Neurospora crassa OR74A: one gene and its partners. The main gene of each other region encodes a partner of the protein of the gene in region 3 in a complex. Links are inferred from orthologs where the notes say so. Each region holds a gene or a part of one and is shown on either strand. Other genes may lie near its edges.

Region 1 (3,467 bases), on a different chromosome or scaffold from region 3:
CGCCACCCAGGAGGTCATCGGCCACGCCCGGACCTGCCGCGAAGAGAAGTCTCAGCAAGCCACGGACCAAAAAACCTGCCACTAAATCTGCAGCACCATCTGCGGCTACGACACCGAAACAGTCTCGTGCTGGTTCAGCTGCGGCCAAGGCTGAGCCGGTTCCCAAGGCAGAAGAAGCTGTTGAGGTGCCCCTCCCCACTGTGACGGAGACTCCTCAAGAAGTTGCTCAGCCGGTAGAGGAAGCCACGGAAGCTCCCCAAACCCCCACTTCTGACGTTCATGTTGTTAAGGAGGAGATGCCAGCCCAGGAGACTGAAGCCGCCCCCTCGTCCGCTGCCGAGGTTGTTGATACCACCGATGCTGACATCTAGGAGCACGGCGAGGAGAAGTCTGCCAGCACTTCGGAATTTAAGCACACTTCTGATTCGTAAAAGGAAGCCAGAAATGGTGGATGTGATCGCTTTTTGGCCTGTAGAGTCTTTTTTAATCACCCCTATTACTTGTTCGAGACAGTGAAAGAGGGGGATGCAGTGTTACTGGGTTAGCACATTTCATGATACCTTTGTAGAAAGACCAATCACACATTTGTAAGAAAGTTGGCGAAGCATGAAGTATGAATGCATAGCAGATAGTGGGTTGTACAGCACCCTGGAGCAGGATGAATCGATCCCTTTTCTTATCAATCTTGGTGATATCTGTTTCCACGGTGAGTGCTGATGATTTAGTTGTCATGCATAGATCATAGCATACAGGATGCCAGCTCGTTGTCTTTCTTGGCCTCATACCTCATATTCACATAGCAAGAACCAAGGATGAGCTCTGCTTTGCCAATGTCTATTCCTTTCCATGTTTGTCCAGTCTTGCTAAGTCGTCTAGTGTACAATGGAATCACATCCGTATCGTACACTGCGCACAGAAATGGTTGGCTCCAGTTCAGGTTTGAGATCCTCCCAAAGTGCGGTGACTCTTCCTCCTCTTCTTCTATTCCTCTCGCTTCCTTCCCAACAATGCCTTCCTTTCACCGAATTCATGTCCTATCCCCACCGTCCATCCTTGAGACCCTCCTCCTTCTTCTTCTTCTACCCATCTATTTTACCTTGCACAAAACCAGCCCACCAACTTTCCTCTCCACTGCCTCCCTAACCTCCAACACACCTCTATCAGTGTTCACAAACAAACACTCGCCCAACTGCAACCCCTTCATGTATCCCGCGGGAAAGCCCCTCGCCACACGGTTCAGCTGTTCCAGGGAGGCAGTCACCAGCCTCGACGGCTTCGAAATCGGCTTCAGCTCCTTCAAGACGGGTTCCTCGTTCCAGTACTTGAGTCCCACCCACAACCGGCGCGTGGCCACGTTGGCACTGGTCACGGGCTCGGGCTCGTAGGTCATGAGGGCCTCGGGCGTGGGCGGGTGAGGACCGCCCCGCGTGATGGAGGAGATGAAGCCTGCGCGGTGCAGGGCCAGGGCCAGGGCGAGGTTGTACTTGGTGTTGGGCAGGGAGGTCAGGCCCAGGCGAGCGCGCGAGGCGTTTTGGAGGTGCGAGCACATGTTGGTGATTTGTTGAATGCCCATTTTGAAGGTTTGATGATGCCCGTGTGGGACTTTTGTGTTGCTGAAGAGAGAGAGAGAAAATGGTATGCACTGGGTGATGGGTTATAAAGAGAGAGAAGTCGGCCGTCGTCGCGTAAGTCGTCGGGTCGATCGGCTGGTATGGCTTGGTCCGTCCGGTGTAGAAGTGCTCGGGAGATGCGGCGGCGAACTGGGGACCTTGCGGGATGAAGAGAAGGATGATGCGGGATGAAGAGAAGGATGATGCGGGTGAGGAATCGGTGCTGCAGCGACGGGGCGTCTTGAGGTTAGTCTAGGCGTGCCGATGAAGATTCGCGGGACAGAAAAAAAAAAAAAAAAAAAGGAAGATTGCAACGCACAACCAATCGGGAGACCGTAGCTGTTGCGCACAGTCGGGTGGCCGTCACGGGTCGGTGGTCGTGATGGAGGAATTCGGACTTCGGAGGAGCCGTAAAAACAAGTGGAGGTTTCGGGACTCGCGAATGCGGCGCGCAACGGGGTCCGGATGCGAATTGCGGTTTCGAGGTCTCGATCGGGATGGCTCCGTTAGGTAAGTTGTGCTGCCGATTTTTTGTCCCCCTGCTGCTCTGTCCGCTTCTGCCGTACGGCACTACGTACGGGCTGGCGGGCGTGCGTGCGTTTGCTTGGCCGCCGGGGCCGTGTGGAGGACGGACAGGGATGGTTCGAGAAAAGACCTCAGGCTGAGCGTTGAAAGAGTGAATGACCTCGGGCAATGACCTCCACTGTGCCTTGCACGAAAGTCACTGCAAAAGAGACCCCTGCTGCCCTGAAAGGCCTCCCGTCCCTCCGCCAGAGAGACCAGAAGGTGTCTGTCCGGTGGGGCTTTCTTGGTAGCTCTCCAGGTTTATTGAGGATGGATCCTGCTTACCCCACCTTTTTTCTTGTCTTTCCCTCCCGCTCCTTTCCCTCCTCGTCAATTGTGAAAGAAGGACTGGAGAGTGTGACAATTGACTTGCTCGTGCTTCTTTCTTGGCATCCCACCTTAAGCGCCCAGGCGGACCATCCAGTGACCATCCAGGACGATGCAACCACCAGGCAAGGTCACCTCTACCGGCACTAGGGGTCGCATCACCGACCTATCGTGCGCGCTGGTTGGATGGCTGTGTGCTGATTGCGCCATGGAGTGAGAGCCGAATGTGAAGAACCAGACCACGGTCTCCTGCAAGGGTATGTAAGAGGTAGGGTACTATCGCAAAGACGCGGAAGCCGAGTGGCTTTTGTTTTCTTTGGGTTCCGTCATCTCTGATATTAGGCGTGATAGCCCTCGGGTGGGAAGCTGAGAAAGTTTGCTGTCTTTCAGTTCTCTCAATCCTTTTTACCGTTGTTGTGTTGTTGTGTTTGTTCACTCAAGCGAGTTCGTTGATCACAAAAGATGGCCGCCCGTGAGGGAGAGGAGAACGTCGGCACGTTGTAAGTTTGTCTTCCGTTGATCCCATAAAGAGGTGATAGTTCCTGGGCGCATTCTGACTGATTGATTCGCTGCATAGCTTTGGTGATATTCACTACTTCTACGGCCCTCCAACAAATAACCCGCCTCATCACAGGTTCGACAAGGGCTCCTATGTATACCTTTTCGAAGATGCCAACTTGGGCCGCGCACGGCTGGAGATTGCGAACCAACCTGGAAGGGAAGACCAGGATGCTTTCGATGGCTGTAAGCATTAGGATTTAGAGTGAGAGCTCGAGACGACAGTGGGAAGGCTAACATCATGTGTCGCCAGACCTCGACAAAACCCATCTCGAGTACGATTACAACCACACCTGCCTTGTAACTTTGACGGTTGGCGAGGTCGAGGGCTACGAGGAGTGGCATCTACCAACATACGACCCTCACAATCAGGCCAAGTACCATTACAAGCTTCACTCGCTCGACATT
Region 2 (3,748 bases), on a different chromosome or scaffold from region 3:
ACAGTCCCCCAGGGCCCTCGGGCGAGGATGCTGAACACGGATTGCACTCTGCCGCCACGGGAACGGAATCTGAAGTTCAGAAAACGCGGTTCTGACAGCGCGGCTAACCCACGTGTGCCCTGCAGTGCGTATCGTTCCCACCTAATCTGTGAGATGGGAGTTGTTCGGCATGCCTCTTACACATTGGATGTAACCCCCGGATGGTTCATGACTTGTAGTCGCACGAATCAGTCAACCCATCACAAGCAAAACCCATGTCAAAGTTGCAGTGATGCCGGTTGAAGAGGCCGGGCGTCGAATCGGTTTGCATACCTTTTTTTTCCATGGCAAAAAGAACCGTTGTAACCCCCCCAGCACACACATAGATTGTATTATACACACACAACAAGGTCGTGCCGGCCCCCCCCTAACACGGTTTGTTGAACCCCTCCTGTACAAGTACACGCGTGCTTGCCTGAGATCGACCTGTGCTGAACTTGGTAGGCCCAGGCGAGGCCACAAGCGAGACGGACACTCACATGCATATCCACATATAGAGTACGCACATGAGAGAAAATGCTTCCCAGAAAGAAAGGAGCTGTGATGCTGCGCTGGTGGGGAAAAAAAGCATCGCTCCATTTGACTGGTCGTTCGTGCATAAACCGAAACTGAGGCAGCATATTCACAATGCCCCCCCAAAAAACGAAACCCATCCAATAATACCGCAAACTGTAGCAGGAGGGCGATTATCTCTTGACCCAGGTAGGCATCTTTCTGGCCTTGACATGGCCGTGTTTCTTTCTTTCGACCTTCCTCGGGTCGCGTGTGACACATCCGGCTACAGTAAAAGAAAGAGGGACTTGTTAGCAAAGGTGCATCATCCCTACCTACCATACCGCGAAAGCCTGTATGGCGAGGCACAATCATAGAAAACCAAAACATGTGTAATGTAGTGCGAAGCTTACCCCTTCTTAACGCCGGCTTCAGAGCAGGCTCATGAGCCAGCAAGGCCTTTGCGATAGCCAGCGTAATGGCCTCCGCCTGACCCGTGGTACCACCACCCTCCACCTTGACCCAGACGTTGTACTTGTCAATGCGATTTGTTGCGCGCAAAGCCCAAACAGCGCTCTCGCGATCGTGAACCCGCCCAAAGTACTCGGCCAAGGTCTTCCCGTTGACCAGAACCTCGCCGGTACCCTCCACCACGAAGGCCCGAGCACTCGAGGCCTTTCTCTTGCCGACTCCACAAGCGCGGCCAAACTGGTCAATCGGGATCGGCTTGGCGACATTTGTAAAGGGTTGTACGTTGCGCCTGAAGCTGTCGAGCACATCCTTGATCTCTTGTGGCTTAAGGTCGGGGTGGATCGAGTTGAGCCGTTTGACGAGAGCCAGACACCTTGCGAACTCGGATGCCTTGACCTGCTCGCCGAGCTCTTTCCTGATATCCTCGAGCGTCTTCCAGGCCACGCGCTCGACGGCGGTCGCGGGGATGACAGGAAGGTCTTCGTACTCCTCCATGAGCTTTTCTAGGGAAAGATAGTTGTCGTAGAACCGGGGCGTCCGGGTGAAGTACGAGGGCGACACGGGGACGGCACGGGCATAGGGATGGAGTTTGAAGTTGTCTATGCTGAGCGCAGGGGCGGCGATGAATTGGCCATCTACGTTCGGGTTGTGGTCGTGGGCGTGGGTGGACAGGGACCTCGAGCTGATGCGCAAAGCGCCGAATTGCTGGTCAAGCGACTGCCATTGCGCCGACTTGGAACAGCCCTGGCGGGAGCTCCGAAGAGCACTGGTAATGCTGTGTCTAAGAGATGCCATCATTCATAAGCGGCTGTTCACCTCTCGTACATTATCGGGCCCCGAGGGCTACTGGATCGGGAGAGGAGTGGGATTGGGGTTCGGGTCGAGGTGTGGTCGGCTCGCCGATGGGTATCTTTGGGGCTGTCGGGGGCGAGGGCAGGTCCAGCGCGGGCAGTGGTCAATCAGGTCCGGACTCCGGGTCCCGTCTGCGCGTCGTGGGCCGTCCCGCGGCGGAACAATTCGCAAGAGGATTTTTCCACCCGGCAAGCGGAAAATGGGAGCTCGGACCACCCATGCTTCCCACTCAAGCACCGCACTCACTGGACCCGACCTCACCTGGGCTCCCGTCACCTTCCCCTCCACGCATGCGGCCCCGACAGGGGGACCATTCCGCCCGGCAGGCAGATAAGACAAGATGCCCGGCAATCAAGCGGCACCGTTTTCCATGGGCTGGAAGCCTGGCAGCCATCAAGGCATGGCACGAGGGAACTGAAAGCACAGACAGCGGAAGTGTGAATCACTGGCCGAAAGCATACCTCGCTAGGTACCATCAATGGAATCCCATCTGGGCAGCCTTCCACAGCCGCCAACGGGCCGGCGGGCGGTTAAGGTACTGAGCTCTCTCATGCATTCTGTCGAGTTCCAGCGCTGTGAGGTTCTGATGTGAGGGGAAGCAACCCAGCCGCCAAAACGGGATGCAGGCTCAGCAGCCAGGCAATTTCCCCGCCACTGCCGTGGCCGCGCGCATGCCCCACCACAGATAAAATTTCCTCTGTGTCTTCCCATCCACATCATCCATCGCACAGATCCCTTTTTATTTGCTTCCCCGTCACCCCTCTTCTTCCCAAACCCATCTTTCCTCATCATTGATCAAATTATCAAAGATGGCCTTCGGAAAGCTTTACACCTACGAGGTAAGATGAGCAGAATTCAGAGATTGCGGCGCTCGTCTTGACACGGCGGGCGCCTGCGGACGAGCGCCGACATTCTAACAGATTCTGCTCACTAGGCGAACCCCCGCTCCACGGCCATCTTGGCTGTCGCGAAGGCCAACAACCTCGACCTCGAGGTTATCAAGGTCGACCTTGAGGCTGCCATCGAGGAGTACAAGAAGGTCAACCCTCTCGGCAAGGTCCCCACCTTCGTTGGTGCCGACGGCTACACTCTCTTCGAGTGCATCGCCATCGCCATCTATGGTACGTTGACAGAATATGTTGGGCGTCAAGCAAGACTGCCCTGCCCCGCACTTTGAAACACGCATCAACTTTGCGCCAGATACCCTCTGATGTGCTAGCGCACAACCCCTTGCCCCTTCGACCTGATGACCGAGACATTTTTCAAACAGTTATCCCTATCTGAAATACGGTGTTGACTTGGTTCTAACTTCTGACTGTCGAACTCACTCTTTGTCCTCCTGCAATTGCCACGTATCTTGATTGGACAGTCATGGCTAACGGACAACAGTCGCTTCCCAGAACGAGAAGACCACTCTCCTCGGCAAGACCAAGCAGGAGTAAGTTTATGATCGAGCATCCAAACCTGTGCAATCACTTGCTAACGCGTGGTTCAGCTATGCCTCCATCCTGAAGTGGCTCTCTTTCTTCAACACCGAGGTCCTTCCCCCTCTTGCTGGCTGGTACCGCCCTCTCCTTGGCAAGGCTCCCTACAACAAGAAGGCTGTTGAGGACGCTCAGGCTACTGCCCTCAAGGCCATCTCTGTCGCCGAGGCCCACCTCAAGAACAACACCTTCCTCGTTGGCGAGCGCATCACCCTTGCCGATCTCTTCGCCACTGGCATCATTGCCCGCGGCTTCGAGTTCTTCTTCGACAAGGCCTGGCGCGAGCAGTACCCCAACGTCACCCGTTGGTACACCACTGTCTACAACCAGCCCATCTACTCGGCCGTTGCTCCTCCCTTCGCTCTCCTTGATACCCCCAAGTTGACCAACGTCGCCCCCAAGAAGGCTGA
Region 3 (3,748 bases):
TTGTTCTCCACGCCTCCGGTCGTCTCCCACATGAACTTATCGGTAGGGAGGTTGCTGTCGCTGAAGTAGAACTCGACCTAAGACTATTTGTTAGACACGGGGACACGCAGCATGCCAACTGTTTTTGTAGTCTGATCGTACCTGGTTGCGGATCTTGACGGGATCGTCAGTGACGGGCTGGGTCGAAGGATCGTATTTCCTGTTGTTCTTGTAGTCGGCGCGGTCGATAGACTTGGTAGCCTCAGGCTTCTTCTCCTCCTCCTTGCTGGCATCCTCAGTCTTGGGAGCCTCCTCGGCGGCGGGGGCAGCCTCCGCGACGGGGGCCTCTACAGTCTCGGTTTGGACCTCGGTCTGAACATTCTCGACGGCAGGCGCAGCCTCAGTGTTGGCGGTGGTATCGCTCATGATGAAGGTCGGAGTGGCCTGTAGGTATTTGAAAGGGTAAAGTACAAGCGGCTGTAAAGGCAATTGACCGTCTAACGTGACGCGCGTGCACGGAAGAGAAGAATGGATGTAGATGGCCGGGAGAGAGATAATGGTGAACGGATGATGAAAATGCAGAAAGTGCACTGGAGACCGGGGACCAAGCAGGCAAAACGACGAAATTATTTAGTGGGTCCTTCAGGTGCACTCCAGTTTTGGGGCGGTAGGCGCAAAATGTTATTGCAGGGTGCAGTGGGGGAATGGTGTTGGGTTGGTGCAGGGTTGATTGTTGATCGACGCGACAGGAAAGTCGGCCATTCACCAGCAAATCCCAGGACGTGTGTGAAGTGTAGAGGTAGTCACGTAGTGTAAGTCAGGTAGGACCTCGATAATTCTGAACTGTAACACACACTTCAATTCCCTTGTCAAAGATCGAGAGTTTGATTCAGTCTTGTCCATCCATTACTGAGCTCCCTCCCTCCATCATCATACAGCAGCGTAACCCATCTGCCCTGACTTTTTCCAGGGTCTGTCGGCATTGGAGTCATATCGAGGACTGCACTTGTCAAAACCTCCCCCTCAGCGCAAAAAAATGGAAGCGGCGAAACCAAGCAAGCAACCAAATCAGCCCCACCCAGGTCCAAGGGAACCGCCTTTGGGTTTAGACTTTTTGTGCCGATTTCTACCGCCTGGCTCTGCTTCTAGCCCCACTCCACTTGCACCCGCAATCCGCCAAGAGGTTGCGGAGCTATACCGCATGCGCTCTAGCTCCCGCATCCTGTGCCTGCCAGTTCTCCACCATCCGGCCTGGAGTTGACGCGCACAGTGGCCCGAGCTTCTCACGTGAATGCGACCAATGGGCGAGCGCGTGCTCCAATTCGGGTCTGAAATAATTTTCGGAGGACGGCGCCCGATAAGAGGTGGAAGGGCCCCGGGAAGCTCCCCTCGTTGGCAGTGCTGCTAGGTGCCCCGGACCGCTCCGGACTCGACAATCTCCAAACAACCTGCGCCGAACCGGTCCGTCCACTTCGCCAAAAGCACGGGGCCTACAGTCCGATCCGATCCCCCGAAGCTCCTCCAAACACACCACACCCAACATGAAGATCCGGAGGTTGTTCAAGTACCACAGTTTGAAGAAAAAGGTATGTGCTATTCGGTGTTTTATGCCGCCGTCGCCGGGTTTGCCGTTGGTCATCGTCGCCGCCGCCGCATCATCACCCCATTCGCCCCATTACCTACTACCTGCCAGTCCCATTGCCACGACACTCAACACCCACCACACGCGATCATGCTGACGTATTTTGTGTGCGCTTCTTCTTCTTCCGAATAGCCCATCAGGCCGACATGGAACAAATATAACCTGTACAACCTGGCTACGGCCGGGAGAGAACCCAGAATCAGCGGCAAGACATTCTTCCAGCAGAAATGGCTCGCCAAGTCCTTGACACGAGCATACCACGGCGAGCACATCAAGGAACGCAAATGGGCGCGCATGTTTAGCCGTCGCCTACCGGCCGTCGTCAACATGGACCCGGCATACATGGCCAAATATAACGGCAGCGAACAAGCCGCCGGCCGCGGTTCCGGCCTCTCAGAGCCCCCAGCCTACGAGAAGACCGCCGACGAGAAACCTGCCAAGCAAGTCATCGCCAACCCGGGCAGGAAGGTTCCCACGCCGTACGAGCAAATGACCTTTGCGCCTCTCGAGAGACGCCTCGATATCGCCATATTCAGAGCCCTCTTTGCCAGCAGTGCGAGACAGGCCCGCCAGATGGTTGTGCACGGTGCCGTCACCGTCAACGGCAAGAAGGCATGTACACCATCACAACGTTCCAATACCGAATCCCACAATACAGTGCACCCATGCCAAAGCTGCTTGTTTCGGCGCTAACATTACCCGATCCTTTTGCAGATGAAACACCCCGGTTACCTCCTGAACCCTGGCGATCTCTTCCAAGTCGACGTCGAGCGCGTCCTCTATGCGACCGGTGCGCCCAAGGACAAGAAGCTCCTCGCCGCGGCTATGAAGGCCGCCAAGAAGGAGCTTGCGGAGGAAGCACAGGAAGCCGCCGAAGAGAAGGATGCGGAGGCCGAGGAGGCCGAGGAAGGAGAGGCACAAGAAGCAGCCTCCAAGTCCGGCAAGAAGGAGAAGCAAGTCGACACCTCCAAGTTCGACGAGGCCTGGAACCGCAAGTACGAACTCCTGCAGCTCCAACGTCTGCTGCAGTACGCCAAGCACATCGCCGACTCGCCGTCTCACCAGCTCTCCGCGACGCGCAAGCAAGCATTGCGCGCTTTGAAGCGCGACATCAAGGCCGCCATCAAGCAAGCGCAGCGGCGCGACGGGTCCGTTTCGCCAACCGGTAACGTGGTGGACGACCTGACGATGCTTCTCGAGCGCCTTGCGGTCTCCCCTTCCAAGGCCATTCAGCAGGAGGAGGCGGCCAAGGAGCTGAGCAAGAAGCTTGACAAGCAGTCGCGCCAGGTGCTCAAGAAGGTGATCGAGTACAACGACGAGCACGAGGACAACGAGATCGACCCGAGCAAGCCGTACATGACCCCCTGGAGGCCGCGCAACTACATGTCCGCTTTCGCGTTCATCCCCCGCTACCTTGAGGTCAACCAGAACATCTGCGCGGCCGTCTACCTCCGCCACCCCGTGGCGCGCCCGGGCGAGTCCGAAGTACCGTCGCCTTTCTCCCCCACTATCAACCAACTCGCGTTCAACTGGTACTTACGGAGAGGTTAAAGGAGGTCTAGTTAGGAGCGAGGGAATGAAAAGGGGAGATGGAGGGAGGAACGGCAGTCACTCTCTGCCGTCTCAGAGCGGTAGAATTCGCCAATGGACGATTAGAGTCGCGCGCACCCAGTTTTTTGCATGTCGCGGGTACGCTCTATTGTGCTTGTTGCATCTTCAAGGCAACCTCGGATGATGTGATACTCTGCACCTGCTGCGGCTTCAGTTGGACCATGCGTTGGAAATCGGGTTCGGTCTCGATGAGAAAGCTGCGAAGTGGGCGGCAAATCTCGCGATTCCCGGAGAAAAAGGAGACGGGGATGGATCATGCATGAGATGAGTTGACTTCATACGTATTTTGGGCACATTGCGCGTAACAGTTTGTTCGTTCCTCAATACCCGAACAATCTGTTGCAGACTCATTCAGTTCGCCCCCTTCGGCATCGATGTACGCTACATGTATCATTACCACTATTAACTAAATGGATATAAAGAGGGGCATAGACAAATTTCCTTCTTCTTTGCGTAAGAAAGTCATGAGACAGATGAGAACCACCGAGACACCTACGGTCTCCTCTCTGAAAGCTC

The links.
Region 1: NCU08296 (region 3) and NCU02951 share a complex: the UniProt entries of both Saccharomyces cerevisiae proteins name them as parts of the mitochondrial small ribosomal subunit. The link is inferred for Neurospora crassa OR74A from reciprocal best matches to the Saccharomyces cerevisiae genes NAM9 and MRPS8.
Region 2: NCU08296 (region 3) and NCU03827 share a complex: the UniProt entries of both Saccharomyces cerevisiae proteins name them as parts of the mitochondrial small ribosomal subunit. The link is inferred for Neurospora crassa OR74A from reciprocal best matches to the Saccharomyces cerevisiae genes NAM9 and MRPS9.

What each region holds. Positions count from the first base shown.
Region 1 is NC_026501.1:8,605,669-8,609,135, forward strand, and holds NCU02951 (mitochondrial 37S ribosomal protein MRPS8), read right to left. Parts: upstream 2,365-3,467; 5' UTR 1,930-2,364; intron 1,834-1,929; 5' UTR 1,574-1,833; coding exon 1,088-1,573; 3' UTR 635-1,087; downstream 1-634. Other genes in the region: NCU02952 (hypothetical protein), read left to right, coding at 1-371; NCU02950 (hypothetical protein), read left to right, coding at 2,964-3,001, 3,079-3,245, 3,313-3,467. UniProt on the Saccharomyces cerevisiae protein: Component of the mitochondrial ribosome (mitoribosome), a dedicated translation machinery responsible for the synthesis of mitochondrial genome-encoded proteins, including at least some of the essential transmembrane subunits of the mitochondrial respiratory chain.
Region 2 is NC_026505.1:2,536,282-2,540,029, reverse strand, and holds the start of NCU03827 (mitochondrial 37S ribosomal protein MRPS9), read right to left. Parts: upstream 2,433-3,748; 5' UTR 1,801-2,432; coding exon 945-1,800; intron 818-944; coding exon 726-817; 3' UTR 1-725. Other genes in the region: NCU03826 (elongation factor 1 gamma domain-containing protein), read left to right, coding at 2,664-2,693, 2,789-2,975, 3,244-3,292, 3,350-3,748. UniProt on the Saccharomyces cerevisiae protein: Component of the mitochondrial ribosome (mitoribosome), a dedicated translation machinery responsible for the synthesis of mitochondrial genome-encoded proteins, including at least some of the essential transmembrane subunits of the mitochondrial respiratory chain.
Region 3 is NC_026504.1:2,502,245-2,505,992, reverse strand, and holds NCU08296 (mito ribosomal protein S4), read left to right. Parts: upstream 1-1,331; 5' UTR 1,332-1,520; coding exon 1,521-1,565; intron 1,566-1,753; coding exon 1,754-2,233; intron 2,234-2,335; coding exon 2,336-3,172; 3' UTR 3,173-3,716; downstream 3,717-3,748. Other genes in the region: NCU08295 (RNA-binding La domain-containing protein), read right to left, coding at 1-77, 142-405. UniProt on the Saccharomyces cerevisiae protein: Component of the mitochondrial ribosome (mitoribosome), a dedicated translation machinery responsible for the synthesis of mitochondrial genome-encoded proteins, including at least some of the essential transmembrane subunits of the mitochondrial respiratory chain.